Caenorhabditis elegans: one gene and its partners. The protein of the gene in region 1 interacts with the protein of each later gene in a biochemical or structural test. Each region holds a gene or a part of one and is shown in the gene's direction. Other genes may lie near its edges.

Region 1 (5,108 bases):
CATTGAGTTTGTGAAAAGCACTTAATTTTCTCGGTCTCATGCAACTAAATCTCTCAGTAAAAGGAAATAGTTCTGAATAGTCTCCTTAATTTCAAAGAACAAATATTTCTTAATGATGTTTTGATTTTCGAGGATAGATAATATATTGCAAAATGATTTAGTTTTAATTTCTGAAAACTTTGAACTTTATTCATAACAATTACAATGACAACTACTTGAACTTTAAATTGAATTTATGAAAGCATGAAAACAAATTTTCCTTATTAGTAACTAGTTTGAAAAATAAGTTCGTTAGCCTAGTTGTTAAAAAAAATATAATAATAGGATTTTTTTCATTGAATGTTCCAATTTGATGCATTATTCTCCTTGAAAATGAATTGTGATTTGAACGTCGCCCGATCCAATTGTAGCTCAACTTTAAAAAAATCTGGCTTCAGAGAATTTCGAGATTAAATTTAATCAGTTTATCCAAAACTCAATCAGCCTCTGGGTTTGTGTTGTTTTGATTGATATCAAAAATTTAATCTCAACCCACACATGATCAAAACCATTGTCACTTTTTTTTATTTCCTACTTAAAAATTCAATTTCCGTTGTTTAACGAAAATAGAGTTGGAAAACAATTGCGGAATTTTTGAAACCTGTTTCAGTAAATTTTCCCCACATATTCTTTTTCTCTTTTTTCTCAGGTATTCATCTTTTCGGCCCTCGATCCCTTTTTCATTAACGTGAACATGTCAACCATTTTTCGGCTTCATCACACAACTCCCTCTCACATCATTCCTGTTTTTGCTCTCATTTCACATTTAGCAAATTTCAACGCAATTTTTTTCTGGTTTCCGTCTAAGATATTCGTCACATAGATCAGTGCTGTTTTTTTGACACAGGGTTTAGAAATTTTGAACCTTGGTTTACCAATATCTTGTTTCTATCCATTTATTACTAGGTAGTTGTTGAACCATACGGAAAAAATAAAAAATTTTCCACTTGTCAAAGCGATAGATGACATCCTGTGCTTCCAGTATCTATAATTCTGTAATGAATCTCTGTCATTTGTAATCTGTATCAATTCGCAGGTGTATTCCGCCAAAAATATACATTCTGAAAGCTCAAGATGGTTTTAAGGTCTCCGATCTTACAATGTGGTTGAACTACCTAATTAGACTTACCCTATTTTTTAAAAGTATTGCACCTATACTGCCTTATCACCCAGATGCAAAATATTGCCATTTCACAGCTTAACTAAACCTGATCTTAACACGACAAGTTTTTTTTGTCAACTGAAAACATTTGCACCTTTAAAAAATACTGTATATTGAAACTTATAAAATTTTTGTAGACTCGTAAGAAAACCTATGAAAAGACCACCAAAACTCATCAACGAGAAATGAAAAGTACAGTAATCTTTATAAGTGCACACAATCTTTATAAGTTGCATTTTAAAATTTTGTCGTATTGTCTAGACCGGGAACCTGTTAGTGGGCCAAGAAATAGTATAATTTTGGGGTTTTTAAAGATGTGAGTACGAAATATTTAATTTCTATAAGCCATAAGCCATGCTAAAAAAACCCTAAAAATTTGCTTACATGAGAAGAAAGAATTATACTCAGCCAAATCTCTAATCACTTTCTGGAAACTATAGGATTTTATTTTTTATCTATTAATCTATTTGGTTAACACCCTCTTTCATCTTTGTTTCCTCAATTTTTCTTTCCTCCATTAGACTAAAAAAATTTCAGACATAGGCCAAATGGAAGTTGAAAATTTTACCGACTGTCAAGTATATTGGAAAGTGTATCCAGATCCTTCTCAAAGTATATATGCGATAGTGCCATTTCTGACCGTGTACCTTTTTCTCTTTTTTCTTGGACTCTTTGGAAATGTGACCTTGATTTACGTAACTTGCAGCCATAAAGCTTTACTGGTACGTTTCGTTTTTTTTTCGGGTCAAATTTTGTTCTGTTTTGGAAAATTGACAATTTCGGGTTCTCTGAACAATTTGATTCGAAGTGCATAGTGCGTACAGCTTACTGACACCCGGCTAACGAGAGACGAGGTTATCCATGTCTACTTGAAAAGTGACGTACATATTTGGCAAAAAAAAAAAACACTCTTATAATTCTATATAACCAAATATCATAATAAACGTTTCACAACTAGAAAAAAAAATTTTATAGACAGTCAAACTGAGTAATTACCACTTCTTGAAAGAATTTTTCCAAAAACGAACCAAATACGTGATGGAACATCACAAAAATGTTTTTAACATTTTTTGAAGCGGATCAAGATTTTTACTCTGACTAGTCCAATCAAAAATCCCAGAACCTTCACTTCTCCTGTGAATTATCATTAAATTTCAGAGCGTTCAAAACATATTCATTCTGAACCTGGCGGCGAGCGATTGCATGATGTGCATATTATCGCTTCCAATCACTCCAATCACAAATGTGTACAAAAACTGGTACTTTGGAAATCTACTCTGCCATTTGATACCATGCATTCAAGGTATTTTTTCTAAAACAAGAAGTTTTTTAAAATGACGTTTTTTTTTCAGGTATCAGCATTTTCGTATGCACATTCAGTCTCGGTGCGATTGCTTTGGATCGGTATATCCTTGTAGTAAGACCACATTCTACACCACTATCCCAAAGAGGAGCATTTCTTACTACTGTTCTATTGTGGATCCTCTCTTTTGTTGTAACTCTACCCTATGCGTTCAATATGCAAATGATTGAATACACAGTGAGTGTCGTTTTTTTCTAGGTATTCAACTTCTTATACAACTAGTACCCTCGTTTCAGGAAGAGAGAATATGCGGCTACTTTTGCACTGAAAAGTGGGAATCTGCCAAGTCTAGAAGAGCCTACACAATGATCGTGATGCTCGCCCAATTCGTGGTCCCATTCGCTGTCATGGCCTTCTGCTATGCAAATATTGTTTCGGTGCTCAGCAAGCGTGCTCAGACAAAGATACGCAAAATGGTGGAGAGAACAAGCGCGTTGGAGAGCTCTTGCGCATTCCCGTCGCATGGTCTTGAACAGTATGAAAATGAGGTAGTTTTATTGATTTTCAAATTAAAAATTCACATTTGATTTCGTTCCAGTTGAACGAATTTCTAGACAAACAGGAAAAGGAGAAACAACGAGTTGTACTTCAGAACAGAAGGTATTAAATGCAAGGTTTCTAACCGAAATACTATTTGTGTTTTAGAACAACGTCAATCCTAGTTACCATGGTTGTCTGGTTTGGGATAACTTGGCTGCCACATAACGTCATTTCTTTGATTATTGAATATGATGACACACAATCGTTTTTCCGACTTTATGGCAGAGATGATTACGATATCAGTTATTTACTGAACCTTTTCACTCACAGGTTTGATTTTAACCAAGAACGAACGGTTTTGACCATTCTGAACGTATAAACCCAAACATGCCTCAAATGAACAAATTTCAAAATAAAACTTCTCAAAATTTTTTTATGCCGGTTCATTTTTTGGAAAAAGACCTGGGTTTAGCTAAAATATTCAATTTCTGTCACTTTTCCGCAGCTGTCGAAAGTTGACTTTTTTTAAAATTATCGTCCTTTATCGCATATTTTAATAGTTTATCTCACTTTTTTCGATCATTAAGGTATTTTTTAAGCCAATAAGTAACAAAAAATGAACAAAATCGGCTACCTATTGGATTGAAAGATACCTTAATCAACGAAATAACGTGAAATAAAAGCTACAAATGGCACAAATGATGATTATTCAAATAAAGCCAGTTTCTGACCGCTGTGAGTCGGGAAAGTGGCTAAAGTTGCGGATTTAGCTGAAATTAACGTTTTGGCCCAAAACGTTTTGAGAAGTTTCATTACGAAATTCGTTCAATTGAGCACATTTTGTGACTATATGTTCAAAATACCCAAAACCGGATCCCTCCTTTGAATTCAATTTTTTTCATGTTTTTGCAAATATTAATTTTAACGTTTCTAGTATTGCCATGTCGAACAATGTTTTAAACCCGGTACTCTATGCGTGGCTGAACCCAAGTTTCCGTCAACTGGTCATAAAGACATATTTTGGAGACCGGCGTAAAAGTGACAGGTTTGTTGTCAATTTCGAAAACGCGTTGTAATTGTGCTTTGTCTTCCAGAATAATCAATCAAACATCAGTTTACAAAACAAAGATCGTGCATGATACGAAGCACTTGAATGGAAGAGCCAAAATTGGCGGTGGTGGTAGCCACGAGGCGTTGAAGGAGAGGGAGCTGAACTCGTGTTCGGAAAATTTAAGCTATCATGTGAACGGTCATACGAGGACTCCTACACCGGAAGTTCAGTTGAATGAAGTTTCAAGTCCTGAAATAAGGTAGAACGTGAATTTGAAATCGTAATTAAAATTTTGATTTTTTAGTAAACTTGTTGCTGAGCCGGAAGAATTGATCGAGTTCAGCGTCAACGACACGCTAGTCTGATTGTTTTCTGACATATCCTTTTTTCGTTGATTTCGCAACTATCATCACTTTCATCCTTGCTGAAATAGTTTTTATGATCTTTTTTTTGAATAAATAATACATAGGATGCATATATATCTATAAGTGTTTTCATGACGTACACATACGAAAATTGATGATATGTGGTCTCGTAGACTAAACGATCATCTCGTGTTCTACAAACGAATGATTCAAAGCAAAGTGCTTCAGAAGACTAGAAGGTAGGGAATTAAACACGAAATTATTATGCAAAAAGAAGAGTTCAAATATTGAACATGTGGTAAAACAAAACGCTATGCAATATTTTGGAGTTTTGAAAATTTCAGACAAACTGCCGAATTTTTCGGAAATCGGGAATTTTGCTGAAAAATTTCTGAGCCATCATTCGCCGGAATTGCCAATCGAAAAATGATTTACAGAACACTAAACAAGGTGTAATAATTCGTTTTCAGAATAAGATTAAATTTAAAAGTTGCTAAAAATTGTCAGCAATCTGCAATTGCGGAAATTTCAGCAATTGCCGAAAATGTTAATTTCCGAGTATTTTTGATTGCCGTGCACACTTTACTTTTTACAAAATTAAAATACCAACAATTGAATACATGTTTGTTTCTTTTTAAAATAACAAAT
Region 2 (3,149 bases), on another chromosome or scaffold:
ACTGTGGAGTCTATGACATTTCTGTCTGAACGCTGTTTCGTAAATAATAAAATGACAAATTAATAGCTTAAGCTCTGATTTTAAGCCAAAGCCTTCTTATCCTGGAATTTTATTCTAATTTTCAGTCTTCGATATCATTCCTCGAAAAATCACAAATACATATGGTGATGTGAATACTCGTCTGTAATTGTTAGGTGGCCACTTCGTAAAATGCTGATATTTCCAAAACCAAAATATAAGAGATCTTGGAGAAAACGCGTCAAAAACCAGCATTTGACGTGTACCTCTACAAATTCTTTCACCTGCCAAATGTTAAATTTGATCTACTGACCCACTAAAACACTACTTTTTTTGTTACCAATGACAATTTTTATGCGACTTTGACATTTGGACAGGGAAAAGTTTTTCCATTCTTTAGTTTGAAACCGAGTCCAAAAATTACAAAATTTTCAAGTTTTTATGCCTCGCTAAACTCTCTAAAGAAGTTTAACTTTGAAAGTCAATGAGCCAACGAAAATTTGTTTCCTCTTCTTCGATGATGACGAAATGTGCCCCGAAGTAACTCGATAATCGTGGAAATCTCTACTTTTTTCGGCTCATAAAGCTTCTTTATTTCTTTTTTTGGTTTTCATCGAAAACTTATCGTATCAAAAACTACCAACTTTTTTGAATATTTGTAAGACTACATTTTCTCATCACTTTTACCCTCCACCTCATCGTTCATCACATTTATCTTACTCCCACTTGCTCTTCACATCACTTTTGTGGGTATATCAATTGGTTGGTGTTTTTTATGTGTTTGTGAATGTTTTGGGGAAGGCTGTGCAAAAATATCAGAAAAAAGAAGAACCTACATGCATTTTGAGGTGGTCTTCATTGTGACTGTTCCTCATTTGGTTGAGATGTCTGCGAATATTAAAAATCTTAAAGACTTTTTTGACCAAAACAATGTGGTATTAAAGGGGAAAAGAAAGAAGAACGTATGTCAACAGTTTTCCTAGTTCAGTCCTAGATTTTTTTTTCAAATCAACTGTCACATTTTTAAAAGGTTAGATGTGTTGTGGAAATCTCTACTTTTCAATTAAAGTTTAATAACTTTTGGCTGTATCAAATACGTGCATTGAAACTCAACTGTTCTCACCTTAAAGTTTTCTGATGCGTTTACAGTCGGGACCAACTACTTACACTGAAACATGTTTATCTTAATTAAGCGGAGCACACTTCCTTTTATTCAAAAAACCTCATAATGCACAAGACGCTGTTTGCTTTCTTTCAAGACCGTAATTAGACAAAGTCATCGAGCAGTAGATTTTTCAAGTCAGCTATTTTCTTTATTCCAAAAACTGCATATTTGTAATACTCATGAATTTTTCATATTTTATGGTTACTCAAAATCTACACGTCTTTATTACAATCTCTCGTTGAATTATCGCGTAAAATTACATCTTCCAAAATAGGACCATTGTTGTTTTCAAGTCATAGCATATTTTAACGCGATTTCCGGCCACCTCAACTATGCTCTGCAACGAGTATGACGTGCCCAATAAATATTGGGCTATCCTGTTTTCCCACCACATACACCCTCCTCATAGTTCCCAGAAAAAACTTTTACCGGAATCACGTATACATATAACATCATCTTACCTGAAAAAACATTTCGATGTATCATTTGCCTAGGTTCTAGGATGGGTGGTTGCTCTTGGAGCAAAGGTCATTTTTGTGAGTAGTCCAGTAGATTTGGAAGGGGATACACTGAAATATTCATTTCTTGTTTCAAAGCTACCGTAGTGATCACTTCCGTCTTACTATTTATCTCAAAACTTCTTTTTTTCCACCCCATCCCATCATGCTTCGCAAGAATCTCATTAACAAATGCAAATTTACAACGATGACTATGTACACTATTTAAGATTTGATTGTGTATTCAACGTTTGATCTCCCACCCTCTCATTGCTCCAAAATCCAAAAAGTCATTTTCAGACGATGCGGCTGTTCATCTTGCTTTCGTGTCTTCTCGCGTGGGTCCTCGCAGCGCCTTATATCGATCAGGAAGATGCGCTCCGCGTTTGTAAGTTTTGTCAAAGTTAAAGATTTAGATTAATCATTAATCTTTTTCAGTGAACGCATATTTGGAGCAATTCGGACCCGGCAGTGACAGAGTTTACTATGTTGCCGAAGACGATCATGGGTAGGTCCAGTTTAATTATTTTCTGATAGACATCTTTATTAAGTCAAGTCTTACTGTAGAATAAGTTGCAAATCGCTATAATTAATAATTTACCGAAATACGAGCATTCAGCTAGAATAAATTAGTTGCGATTCAGAAAAAAGTAAACTAATTTTAAAATTTCAGATCAATGAAACGTGGTCTCGGTCCTCGTCCTCTCCGATTTGGATAAACGGTTGCTGCTCGAACGAACGAACAACATGACACAACATTTTCTCTCTTTCCTCTCAATGTAACTTTATACAAAAATGATGTTCCAGACACTCCACAATTCCAATTCCGAAGAAATATCTATCCTCTCCTTTTCTCTTTGAAAACGCTGCAGAAACAATGTTCTTTTTACTCTCTCTCTCTTTTTCTATCTCACTTCCTCTTTTTCTGTTGAACAAATAAAAACAGCTTTCAGTTTGACATTTGACTTTTTATTAAGTTTATGAGTGCCCTTATATTTAAGAATTTTCCAATTGTGCAATTGTACCCTGCAACTGTAATGGTAGAATCCGGGAAAATCAGTCAGGATTACATTAATGAAACAGTTGGTGTCTTCCCTGCAGGGGTTGAACAAACATTATGGATACTGTTTCAAGGATCGTAGTTGCCGTAATAAATCCATTGAGGCGTCTATCTCTTGAATTTCTAACATAATGTGCCGACTATATAGTAATAAAGCTCCTGAAATTGAGTTTTGGGTGCCAATTTTGTAGTTTTGTGGAAAGTGTAATGATCGTTGAATTTTGGTTTTTGATGATTTTTAAGAACATTTTCCGAGAAATTTCGTATGGCAATTAATACATGGAAAAAATCAGTCCTAGGGATTTTATTCACAATAAAACCGAGAATTCCCTAGAATTGAAGATAAAGTAGTACTTATACATAGTTTCCTACCAAAGCCGAGCCGATTGCAAAAGTTTCGAAAAAATAA
Region 3 (5,343 bases), on another chromosome or scaffold:
GAGAATTGAAGGACCGGTTTTCGAGGCGTGCTGCAATGATGATCCAGAAAGTGTGTGGATGAATTGGGGATAGAAGGAAATAGAATTACTGAGAAAAGCAAAGAGATCAACGCGATGGGGATTTTGGAGGCTTATAAGGAGGTCGTATAAGAATTTAAGATTGACGGATGGGGAATATTCAGGCGTTATTTGCCTGCTCACAGGCATCCACCCAATCAGAATAGACGTCGATTGGCTCGGAGAGGTAGTTGATGTTTGTTTGGAAGTCTTCAGAGCAGACACGACACGAGATATAACCGACATTCTTTTCGCGATCCCTGGAAAATTATTACGTTTTTTTTTGAAACGATTTTCCTTAGAAAGTACATTTTCACTTCACAAACGCGTTCATGATTGCAAAACGGACAGTTGAATTGGGTGTCGAGTGGCATTACAGCCTTTGCCTTGGTTGGAGCCTTTCTCTTCGACTTTCGCTTTCCCATTGCTGCGGATTGTTTGGATTGGTTCTGAAAAACAATTATTAAGTTCGGGAAACGTAAAAAGAACAGAATATTTTTGCAGAAGGTAAAAATATGTTCCAATCTCGAAAAAAAAGTTCGAAAATTACATTTAAATTGCAAGAAAATATACTAATATACAAACCACTCAAAAATGCGACACTCAGAAATACTATATTGTTTTTTTCTGTATTCTAAAAACTATAACGTATGCACAATGTGAAAATTTTTCGTGAGTGTCGGCTTGAAATTCCACATTTTTGGACTTCAAATTCACAAAATTTTTTGAATCATCAGGTTTTATATGGAAAATTTACCTATTTTGACACAAAACATAATATTTCTATCATATAAAAACGGCAAAAATCCGGCAAAAAGTAACACGAAAAACAGCCAAAAAAGAAATTTCGAAACAAAATTGGCGCGAGGAAGACAGTTAGATGCGCAGGTTTTCTCGACTACGGTCTGCAGTACACGTTGCGTACTGCGTACAAAAAATGTTGACCGTAGTCTCCAAAACAATTAAGCATTTATCGGACTTTCCGGAGCAGGATTTATTCATTTTATGCTTAAAATTAAACATTTCTCAATATTTTATCAATAAATTAAATGAGAAAATTGTTTAAATCGTTAAAAAGCATTAAATAATGCTGAAAAACGTTAATTTTCAATAAAATATCTTTCTAGTGATGCAATGCAACTCAAAATTATAATTTAACAATTAAAATTATCTAAATTCAAATTTAAATATTCAGATGGGCCTCAAGGGATTCACCGGTAGTTTTCAACAAATTCGCGGACTTCTACGACCACCAAAGAATCTCCCGTTCCGTGGAATTTTCCGGAAAGACGGAGAAGTTGTGCGAAAAGACGATTTGCTGGTGAATCAATTCAAAATGAATTATCATCCAGGGTTAAATGTAAGATTTATTATCAAATATCTTTGATTATTGAGAAGTTATTCAGGTTTACTATGAAAACGATCGCGGAGAACGTCTTCTGCGTGCCCATTGCGACGGAATCGTTCGTATCTCCCAGGAAAAATGCGATCCGGACTATGAAATTGAGGAGATGAAGGGATACGAGTATAGGAAAGACGTGGATTTGTACAAAATGACGTTCAATGTGATTCCGCTGGAATTGTCTCAGAAGCACACGCTGCGACATGAAATTTAAATTTAATTTTTTGTCGATTTTTTTTTTGGTTTTGTTGTGTTTAATAATTTTCTGACGGGCTATGGTCAATTAGAATAGTAAATAATGTTTTTCCGCTCTGGATAGCTTAATTTTGTAATTTTTAATTGGTTTTCTTGCCATTTTTACCTATTTCCGTCCTATTTTTCCCCTCCTTTCCAACCAAATCTTCCAGATGGATAACCCGGATGGTCCGAATTTGGAGCGGGACGTTCAGCGTATTCTAGAGCTCATGGAGCACGTTCAGAAGACTGGAGAGGTCAATAATGCAAAATTGGCATCGCTGCAGCAGGTGCTACAATCCGAATTTTTCGGTGCCGTCCGAGAGGTCTATGAGACTGTTTATGAATCAATTGATGCGGATACAACGCCAGAGGTTCAGTTTTTTTTGATAAAACTGACAAAAATGCCGGAATTGAAATTTCCGGCAAATCGGCATATTGCCGGAATTCAAATTCCTGGAAAATCGGCTTATTGTCGGAATTGATAATTCCGGCAAATTGGCAAACTGTCCGAATTAATACTTCCGCCATATCTGCAAATTGTGGTTTTGCACATTTTTTTTGGAATTTTCAAAATTTAAATTTTAAAAAATTCAAAAAGGCACAGTTTTAAGTGTTTCCGTATAATGAAAATCCCTACAAAAAATTCCGGAAAATCGGTAGTTCGGCGAAAATCAAAATTTTCGGCAAATCGGCAAATTGCCGGAAATGCAAATTATGGCAAATCGGCAATTTGCCGAATTTGGCAAAAAAAAAGCCGAGCGACAATTGCCGCCAACCTTGATAATTAAAAGTTGTCGAAATTTCAAATTGTAGTTTTTTTATTTTTCGAAATAATTTTGAGCCGTTTTTGAACAACAGAAAACAAAAAAAAACACTAAACATTTTTCAGATAAAAGCCGCCGCAACAGCTAAAGCAACAGTGGCGGCGTTTGCTGCAGCCGAAGGCCACGCGCATCCACGTATCGTTGAGCTCCCAAAAACCGATCAAGGGCTTGGATTCAATGTTATGGGCGGCAAGGAGCAAAATTCACCGATTTACATCTCCAGGTGCAGATATAAAAATATTTAATGATTTTATAATTTAAAAAAAACGATTTGAATTGCAGAATAATCCCTGGTGGCGTAGCCGACAGACACGGAGGTCTCAAACGAGGCGATCAACTTATTGCGGTCAACGGAGTGGTGGGTTAAATGTTTAATTCAATTTTTTTTTAGTTTTTTTCGGAAAAAAAACATCGAAAAATATTGATTTTTCAATGTTTTTCAATGAAAAAAAAATCTAAAAATTCATTTTTTTAAGCAAAAAACGAAACTTACTTTAATTTAAGTGTTTTTTTATCGAAGATTTCAGATTTTTAGTGTTTTTCAGAAAATAAACCGGAAAAAAGTAAAGGAACCAGTAATAAAAGACAGAATTTTTCGGTTTACGAAGATTTCCATATAAAAGAACATTATAAATTTTTCTTAATATTTTTTTTCGAAAAAATGAACAATTTATTCTCATTTTTTAAAATTGAAAACAACTACACTTTTAATTAGTAGAAGAATATAACTCGAATTAGAAAAAAAACTTTGATTCAAAAAAATAACTTTAAAAAAATTTCAGAACGTGGAAGCCGAATGCCACGAAAAAGCAGTTGATCTTCTGAAATCCGCAGTCGGAAGTGTAAAGCTAGTGATCCGTTATATGCCGAAACTCCTGGATGAAATGGAGCGGAGATTCGAAAGACAGAGAATTCGATCCACTCAGCAGAGTCCAACACTCCCGACGCCGTCTTCTTCGACAAATCCACGAAGATAAAAAAGACGGAACATTTGTAGAAATCAAGAATTCGAGAATTTTTGGAAAAAATACGAAAAAAGCCACAACAAAACTAAATGTTACGGGAACACTAAATTTCGAGAATGCGTACTGCGCAACATAATTGACGCGCAAAATATCTCGTAGCGAAAACTACAGTAACTCTTTAAAATATTACTGTAGCGCTTGTTTCGATTTACGGACATCATTTATTAATCGATGAAATATCGAAAGAAAACACAAAAAAAAGACAACAAAAAAACAAACAAAAAAATATATTTTTATTTTTTATACAAATTTGTGTTCGAATTGGTTTTTCGTTTTTTTTTTTGTTGTCTTTTTTATGTTTTCAAATGATGTCCGTAAATCGACACCAGCGCTACAGTAGTACTTTATAAAATTACTGTGGTTTTCTCTTCGAGATATTTTGCGCGTCAATTATGTTGTGCAATACGCATTCATGTGCTCCCGTAATATAGATAATGGACATTAAAACAATATTTCTAAAATTTTTGCATCAAAATGTTTTGAGGCCCCACGAAAAGGGGAGCAAAACGAAAAGGGGATCTGCAAAAAGGGGATCTGCAAAAAGGGGATCTGCGAAAAGGGGAGATACGAAAAGGGGAGCAACGAAAAGGGGAGCTGGCACTGTGCCAAACGCACAAAACGCAATTTTTCTCACGCAACGCACGTTGATTTTTGAAATTTTCTTCTAGAAGATACGCTTAACAACACGCGACGCGTAACATCGGAGCATCGTTGTATCGTTTTCTTCGAGAAAAATAGCGCTTGGCACAGTGCCAGATCCCCTTTTCGTTGCTCCCCTTTTCGTATCTCCCCTTTTCGCAGATCCCCTTTTTGCAGATCCCCTTTTCGTTCTGCTCCCCTTTTCGTGTGGCCTCAATGTTTTACTGCAAGAGTTCGCATTTTTCTGCAAACATTGATTAGTTTAGCCGAGAAAATAGAACTTTTGTAGCAATATTGAAAGATCTTTTCTTGAAACTGAAATTTTCGCTGAAAAGTTTGCATTTTCCACCATAAAATCCCTATTTTTTCTATTTTTTTCCAGTTCATGTATACTCATTTCTAACTTCTTCTCTTCTATTCTTTGTTCTAGATTTTTAGATATCCCTATATGTACATTATTATCTCTTTTTCCGTTTTCAGACAAATTTCCAAAACAATGTTAATCTCAACACTCACCCTCTCCCCAAATTATTGCCCAAAAATTGCTTTAATAATCTTGCTTTGCCTTACGTTCTTTCAAATAGGTGCTTTTCTCCATGTATCTTTAATAACTAAATTTTTAAAATAATTTTTTTTCATTTTTCGGCATTTTTAAAAAAATATTTTCCATGTTTCAAAAATCACGAAAATCTATCTTTTTGATGTAAAATTCAACTTTTTTCAGATTTTTTTTTCAGAATTTTCTCGAAATGCTCACACAAAAAATCGGCAGACTAATGGCTTGTACAGTAACCCGACAGGCTCATCGGATGCTCACCGAGCAAGAGATTAAAGTGACGAATAAGGCAGCGAGCAGGCTTAAAGTTAGTCTGTCCTTGGGCGCCCAATTTTTTTGAAAATTAGAAATATTGTAAATGGAAAAACGAGAAATTTCGATTTTCCAGTTTTTTTTTTCGGAAAAAAATCGGCACTTTCCTATTTTTCAAAGTTTTTCAAAGCATTTAATTTCCGGTGTTTTTTTTACAAAAAAATTGTATACTTTTGATTTGTAGTGCTTTTCAGAGAAACCCCGATTTTCAAAAAAGAAAGTTAAAAAATTTTGTGAATATTGTTCGAAAATTCAATTTTTTTCAATGACTAGAAAAAAACCTTAATTTAA
Region 4 (4,649 bases), 1.8 Mb from region 1:
ATTTCCTGACAGTCATCACATCACCAAATGAATTTCTATTTTTACAATATAGTTGTAGTATTTTTGTCGAACATATATTGTTCTAACTAACTTCTTAAAAAATTGTGCTCTTGACTGAACACAAATTTCTGCGTCGTTTCACGTTTACTTTTCTCAATTTTTTAAAACCAAAATTTAACTGCAAACTTCTGCATTGTTCTAAAAACTCACAGGTTATCTCAAAAAGATAAATTTCAAAGTGAGATTTTTTTAAAAAAATTCCGGACTGTTTTTTGATTTTGATGTTTTTAATGAATTTTTAAAATTCTTTATTAGTGCCTGAAATTAACAATAATTTTAAAGTTTGTCACACTGCGAATAAATTAATCTCACATTTCGTATGTTTAGAAAGATGCATGAAACTCCGTCGTTCTTATGAAGTTAATTAAGACATGGCTAATTGAAAGCCCACATGGTCATGAAAAAGTAAAACTTACAACTTTTTACTGAATATTAACCAGTCTCTATAAATATCCCAGCTTAGCCGGAATAGGGTCACGAAAACATGAAAATAAAGCTTGAACCTATTGTTATGATTTTCAATGCCACCTTTTGCAGTTTAATATACACTATTACTACTTCTCAGTTCAAGTTCACTTCTGAGACGGAACCTTTATTTTCTAACTTTCTTTAATCTTACTTTTTATGAGCCGAATGTTCTATTTTGTAAAATGATCAGATACAAGCCCAAAGCTAATTTTGCCAATAAGTGTTAGTAGATCAATTGAATTACAATATAATGACCTGGGCGGAATAGATTTTTGCACTGATTTTTTTCCAAGCTTACTCTATGAATATTCATAGATCATCTTCAAAGGTAGCGTGTGTTGTAGTTGTGTTTTGGCGGGTTCGTGTTATTTGACTCAGCTCAAGTAGATGTTGTAGTCTTCCCTCAATCAACGCGTGGGCTTGACCCTCTTTAAATTGAGTGGAAACCAGCCAATCTATTTGAAATCTACCCCCGAAATGAGATTCGACGATGACACGACGTGTGTGTTACGTGCGCTGAGAATTTAGGAAAAAAAAGATAATCTTCTTTTCGTTAGCTGCGCCACAACCTGTGCAGATAAACTCCGCACAATTGAAGTTCTTACTGGTCCCACCCGATTTATTCAATTGTATTGTGTCTTTTTTTCTTATTTCTCTACAACTCTAACTTTCTTCAACTATTCTCTACATCAGTGCTTTTTTCCACCATGAAAAAAGAAATGACGTCGTTGTTTCTTAGGAGGGGCGGAGCCTCAACTCAATGGTCCGTTCGAATAGATCCCACCCCTCATATAAATAGGACTGAAACCAAAGAAGTTTTTAAATTTTCAGCTTACCGTGTTTCTCAATTTTCAAAATAGTCTTTTTTGTGTCTGAACGGGCTGATCAATTATGTTTTTTTTTGAATGAAAAATCTTCCTCCCAAGCCTTAAAATTCCTTCCAAAGATCGAAAGTTATGTCTATTCAAGTTACTTCTTCTTAGATCAAATATTAAACAAAAAAATACGCCATCATTCTCTCACATTTAGTAATTCAAAATTTCGATTTGTTTTCGAACTTTTGAATTTCCCGCCTAGGAAGTGACATGAGTGAAATCTCATTAGATAAATGTGCCACTCACCGATGACACTATTTTCAAATAAGGGGGGGGGGTGTTTCGAATACCTTGTACACGCGTTTCCGCAAAACCACACACCCCGAGTTCCTCAGCTTCTTCCCCTCGACCCATGAGCCACGTCAAGATGTCAGCGTGTCACTTTTCATTGCTTCACCTTCTACGGTAACGAGAAAAGGCGGGGAATCCAGGATCTGGTGTGACTTCTTCCTTCTTCGTATCTTCCTAAAAATGTTCGTTTACTTTTTAGCGAGTGTCATTTGATGGGATGTCGTTCTTGAGGAAAGAGGCTAGAAGCTTAATACTCTCATATTTCATATTATTGGCATCAAGACGTTTATTATTTAACTACAATAACGATTGCTTTAACAACTAAAAATAATAATTTCAGGGTTAGACATGCAACGGTGGTCGGGCGTTCTTCTCATTTCGCTGTGTTGTTTGCTTCGTGGGGCGCTCGCATATACCGAACCAAGTAAGTTCTTGATGAACGAAACAAAGAAAAGTCTTGGCTGATCCAATCTCTTAATTGGGTTTGAAGGGAGTTTGGATAGCCCCAGATCAGCGTGGAAGATTGAATAAAATGACGGCAATAATTTGTCTTAATGTAATCTTGAATTTTATTTTAAAATTTTTAACTTTGTAGTTTGTCGAAACGTTGGTTTCGCGTACATTAGTTTTTTTTCAAAATTCTGGACCTGACGTAGTTAGCTGAAATAATTTTGCGCGGTGTTCAAACATCGCATCCGTATTGAAACTTCATTAGTTTTTATAAGCTTCTGTGATATTCATTTTCCAGTGAGACCTATGAATAATCTTCGCTGCTTCCCACGGTCCGTGAATCTCTAGACTTGGTGTTATTGTCTTATTGAAAAGTGTTTCCACTGACCTTCAAACTTTCTATAATCTAGAGTGGCCCAATGTATTTTTGGAAGGAAAAACGCTTGGATGAAAACAAGATGTAGCGGGAAAAAAAGGGGGCGCCTATGGATATTGTGGAAAGATAGTGTTGAGTTGGATGCTGAGTTTTTTATTCTTTCTTGTCGGGGCCCGTTGGGACATGTTTCGTTCGATGGTGCTCTGTACCCATCTAGACCAACGCGGGAAGCCAAGTAAAATGACGCTGTCGTTCTGCCAAAGTGATGTATTTCGACGATTTCAATCAACAAGAAACGTGTTTTTTTTCGTTTCTTTTTTCAACAGGGGTGCACAATTGAATTGTGTCGATTTGAAAGCATGAATTTGAAATTTTTGAAAATTCTCGTAAGGTCGATCGAAACACATACATAACTGCAATTAGGAGGAATTTGGACGCTTAGCGTCCGATAGGGGCGCAAACTTTTTTTTCCAAGGGGTAGTTTTTCACGGCGTCCGATAACTTCCGAGTTTGACCACTCACTATACATAATCATATAATTTTATAATGAGTGGCTCAACTCGGAAATTGTCGGACGCCGGACGTCCGATATGGCAGCCCTAAATACAAGACGGCACATTGAAACAACTTATATTTTCAGTCTATGAAATCGTCGAAGAAGACATACCAGCAGAGGATATCGAAGTGACTCGGACCAACGAGAAACAAGACGGTCGGGTATTCTCAAAAAGAGGTACAAAATTCTTCGTACAACTAACCATCAATTTTTTGTCTAATTTCAGACTTTGATGGGGCGATGCCAGGTGTGTTGCGCTTTGGAAAACGTGGAGGTGTTTGGGAAAAAAGAGAAAGCAGTGTGCAGAAAAAAGAAATGCCGGGAGTGCTCCGTTTCGGTAAACGTGCATATTTTGACGAGAAGAAAAGTGTTCCAGGTAAGTAGTTCCTTGTTGGTTTATTGCATACTGAAAATTGACTTTCAGGAGTTCTTCGCTTCGGGAAACGCTCATATTTCGATGAGAAGAAAAGTGTTCCAGGTGGCATCATCATCTATTCTAAATCAAATAACATCTCAGTTTTTAGGCGTTCTTCGTTTCGGAAAACGTGATGTGCCAATGGACAAACGGGAGATCCCAGGAGTGTTGAGATTCGGAAAGAGAGATTACATGGCTGATTCGTTCGACAAGCGCAGTGAAGTGCCCGGAGTTCTCCGTTTCGGAAAACGCGATGTTCCCGGTGTATTGAGGTCCGATCATTTTAAGACTTCATCCAGCTTACCAAGGTTTTTGTTTTCAGATTTGGAAAGCGATCCGACTTGGAAGAGCATTACGCAGGGGTTTTGCTCAAGAAAAGTGTGCCAGGTGTTCTCCGATTCGGACGGAAGTAAATTGTAAGTTTCTAAATAAGATTTTGCCAGTCTGACATGTATCAAGTTTCAGATGAATGTGAATGTAAAATGTGCCAGCGACAATTCGATGATCTCGTTGTTTTTCTTCTTTTCTTCCGAGCGTCTCATTTCAATCACTTAATATTAAGTTTTTGTCTCTTTTCAACAATGATACTAAACGTTGTCAATTCTAGAGCTCCATACGATTAAATGAATCATTTCCTGTTACGTCAAACACAGTTCGTCTAATTTTTGAGTAATGTAGTTGTGTGTCTATCAATTGTTTTCTGAACAATGTTGAAAAGCAGATTTGTTCATGGTTGACGTGTGTTGAAAAGAATAATTACCTCCAACTCTGTGCATTTTAGGAATTGATTCATTGAGCTTTCAAACGATGAAAAAGTATGCTTTGTGTTATGTCAGTTATCAGATTAGATAAGTCTAAACAGAACCCAGTGTGAAATGAGTCTATTCATGAAGCTGCTGAAAATTTGAAGCATGTGTATCAAAATGATTCCAAAAAATTTGAAACGCAGAAAAGTTTTTTGAATTATCAAATAACCAACTTCATGTGCACAGGTAATTTCCGTCCTTAATTCTCTTTCAAGTTTCAGATTTGATTAATTGAATCTGGGATCATGAAGATTTTTTCAAACTGCTTTTCCCAATACACTGATGAATCTAGTACTGTACAATTTTTCTTTCATTTCAGAGAGAGCATCAATATTAAAATTAATTGTAAGCA

The links.
Region 2: of the proteins of npr-1 (region 1) and flp-21, one has a biochemical effect on the other in vitro, tested with the Caenorhabditis elegans proteins (4 studies listed by BioGRID, with this or other methods).
Region 3: the proteins of npr-1 (region 1) and lin-7 form a complex in vitro, tested with the Caenorhabditis elegans proteins (one study listed by BioGRID).
Region 4: of the proteins of npr-1 (region 1) and flp-18, one has a biochemical effect on the other in vitro, tested with the Caenorhabditis elegans proteins (3 studies listed by BioGRID).

The regions. Positions count from the first base shown.
Region 1 is NC_003284.9:4,766,616-4,771,723, reverse strand, and holds npr-1 (Neuropeptide receptor npr-1), read left to right. Parts: upstream 1-1,738; 5' UTR 1,739-1,749; coding exon 1,750-1,923; intron 1,924-2,359; coding exon 2,360-2,504; intron 2,505-2,553; coding exon 2,554-2,741; intron 2,742-2,800; coding exon 2,801-3,052; intron 3,053-3,102; coding exon 3,103-3,164; intron 3,165-3,209; coding exon 3,210-3,374; intron 3,375-3,978; coding exon 3,979-4,089; intron 4,090-4,138; coding exon 4,139-4,354; intron 4,355-4,399; coding exon 4,400-4,460; 3' UTR 4,461-4,572; downstream 4,573-5,108. UniProt on the Caenorhabditis elegans protein: G-protein coupled receptor for FARP(FMRFamide related peptide) neuropeptides. Activated by FARP neuropeptides flp-18 and flp-21. Plays a role in modulating social and feeding behavior.
Region 2 is NC_003283.11:7,791,387-7,794,535, forward strand, and holds flp-21 (GLGPRPLRF-amide), read left to right. Parts: upstream 1-1,980; 5' UTR 1,981-1,983; coding exon 1,984-2,068; intron 2,069-2,118; coding exon 2,119-2,188; intron 2,189-2,353; coding exon 2,354-2,399; 3' UTR 2,400-2,639; downstream 2,640-3,149. UniProt on the Caenorhabditis elegans protein: FMRFamide-like neuropeptide. Involved in modulating locomotion quiescence during the sleep-like state called lethargus which occurs during molting between larval and adult stages, acting via the G-protein coupled receptor npr-1.
Region 3 is NC_003280.10:14,345,316-14,350,658, reverse strand, and holds lin-7 (Protein lin-7 homolog), read left to right. Parts: upstream 1-1,866; coding exon 1,867-2,067; intron 2,068-2,585; coding exon 2,586-2,743; intron 2,744-2,802; coding exon 2,803-2,878; intron 2,879-3,302; coding exon 3,303-3,497; 3' UTR 3,498-4,815; downstream 4,816-5,343. Other genes in the region: elof-1 (Transcription elongation factor 1 homolog), read right to left, coding at 179-317, 367-482; Y54G11A.17 (L51_S25_CI-B8 domain-containing protein), read left to right, coding at 1,253-1,417, 1,464-1,673; Y54G11A.9 (Core domain-containing protein), read left to right, coding at 4,934-5,047.
Region 4 is NC_003284.9:3,011,672-3,016,320, reverse strand, and holds flp-18 (SVPGVLRF-amide 3), read left to right. Parts: upstream 1-2,034; 5' UTR 2,035-2,042; coding exon 2,043-2,118; intron 2,119-3,160; coding exon 3,161-3,253; intron 3,254-3,302; coding exon 3,303-3,452; intron 3,453-3,500; coding exon 3,501-3,554; intron 3,555-3,600; coding exon 3,601-3,763; intron 3,764-3,813; coding exon 3,814-3,904; 3' UTR 3,905-3,907; intron 3,908-3,956; 3' UTR 3,957-4,131; downstream 4,132-4,649. UniProt on the Caenorhabditis elegans protein: FMRFamide-like neuropeptides. Ligand to G-protein coupled receptor npr-1. Involved in modulating locomotion quiescence during the sleep-like state called lethargus which occurs during molting between larval and adult stages, acting via npr-1.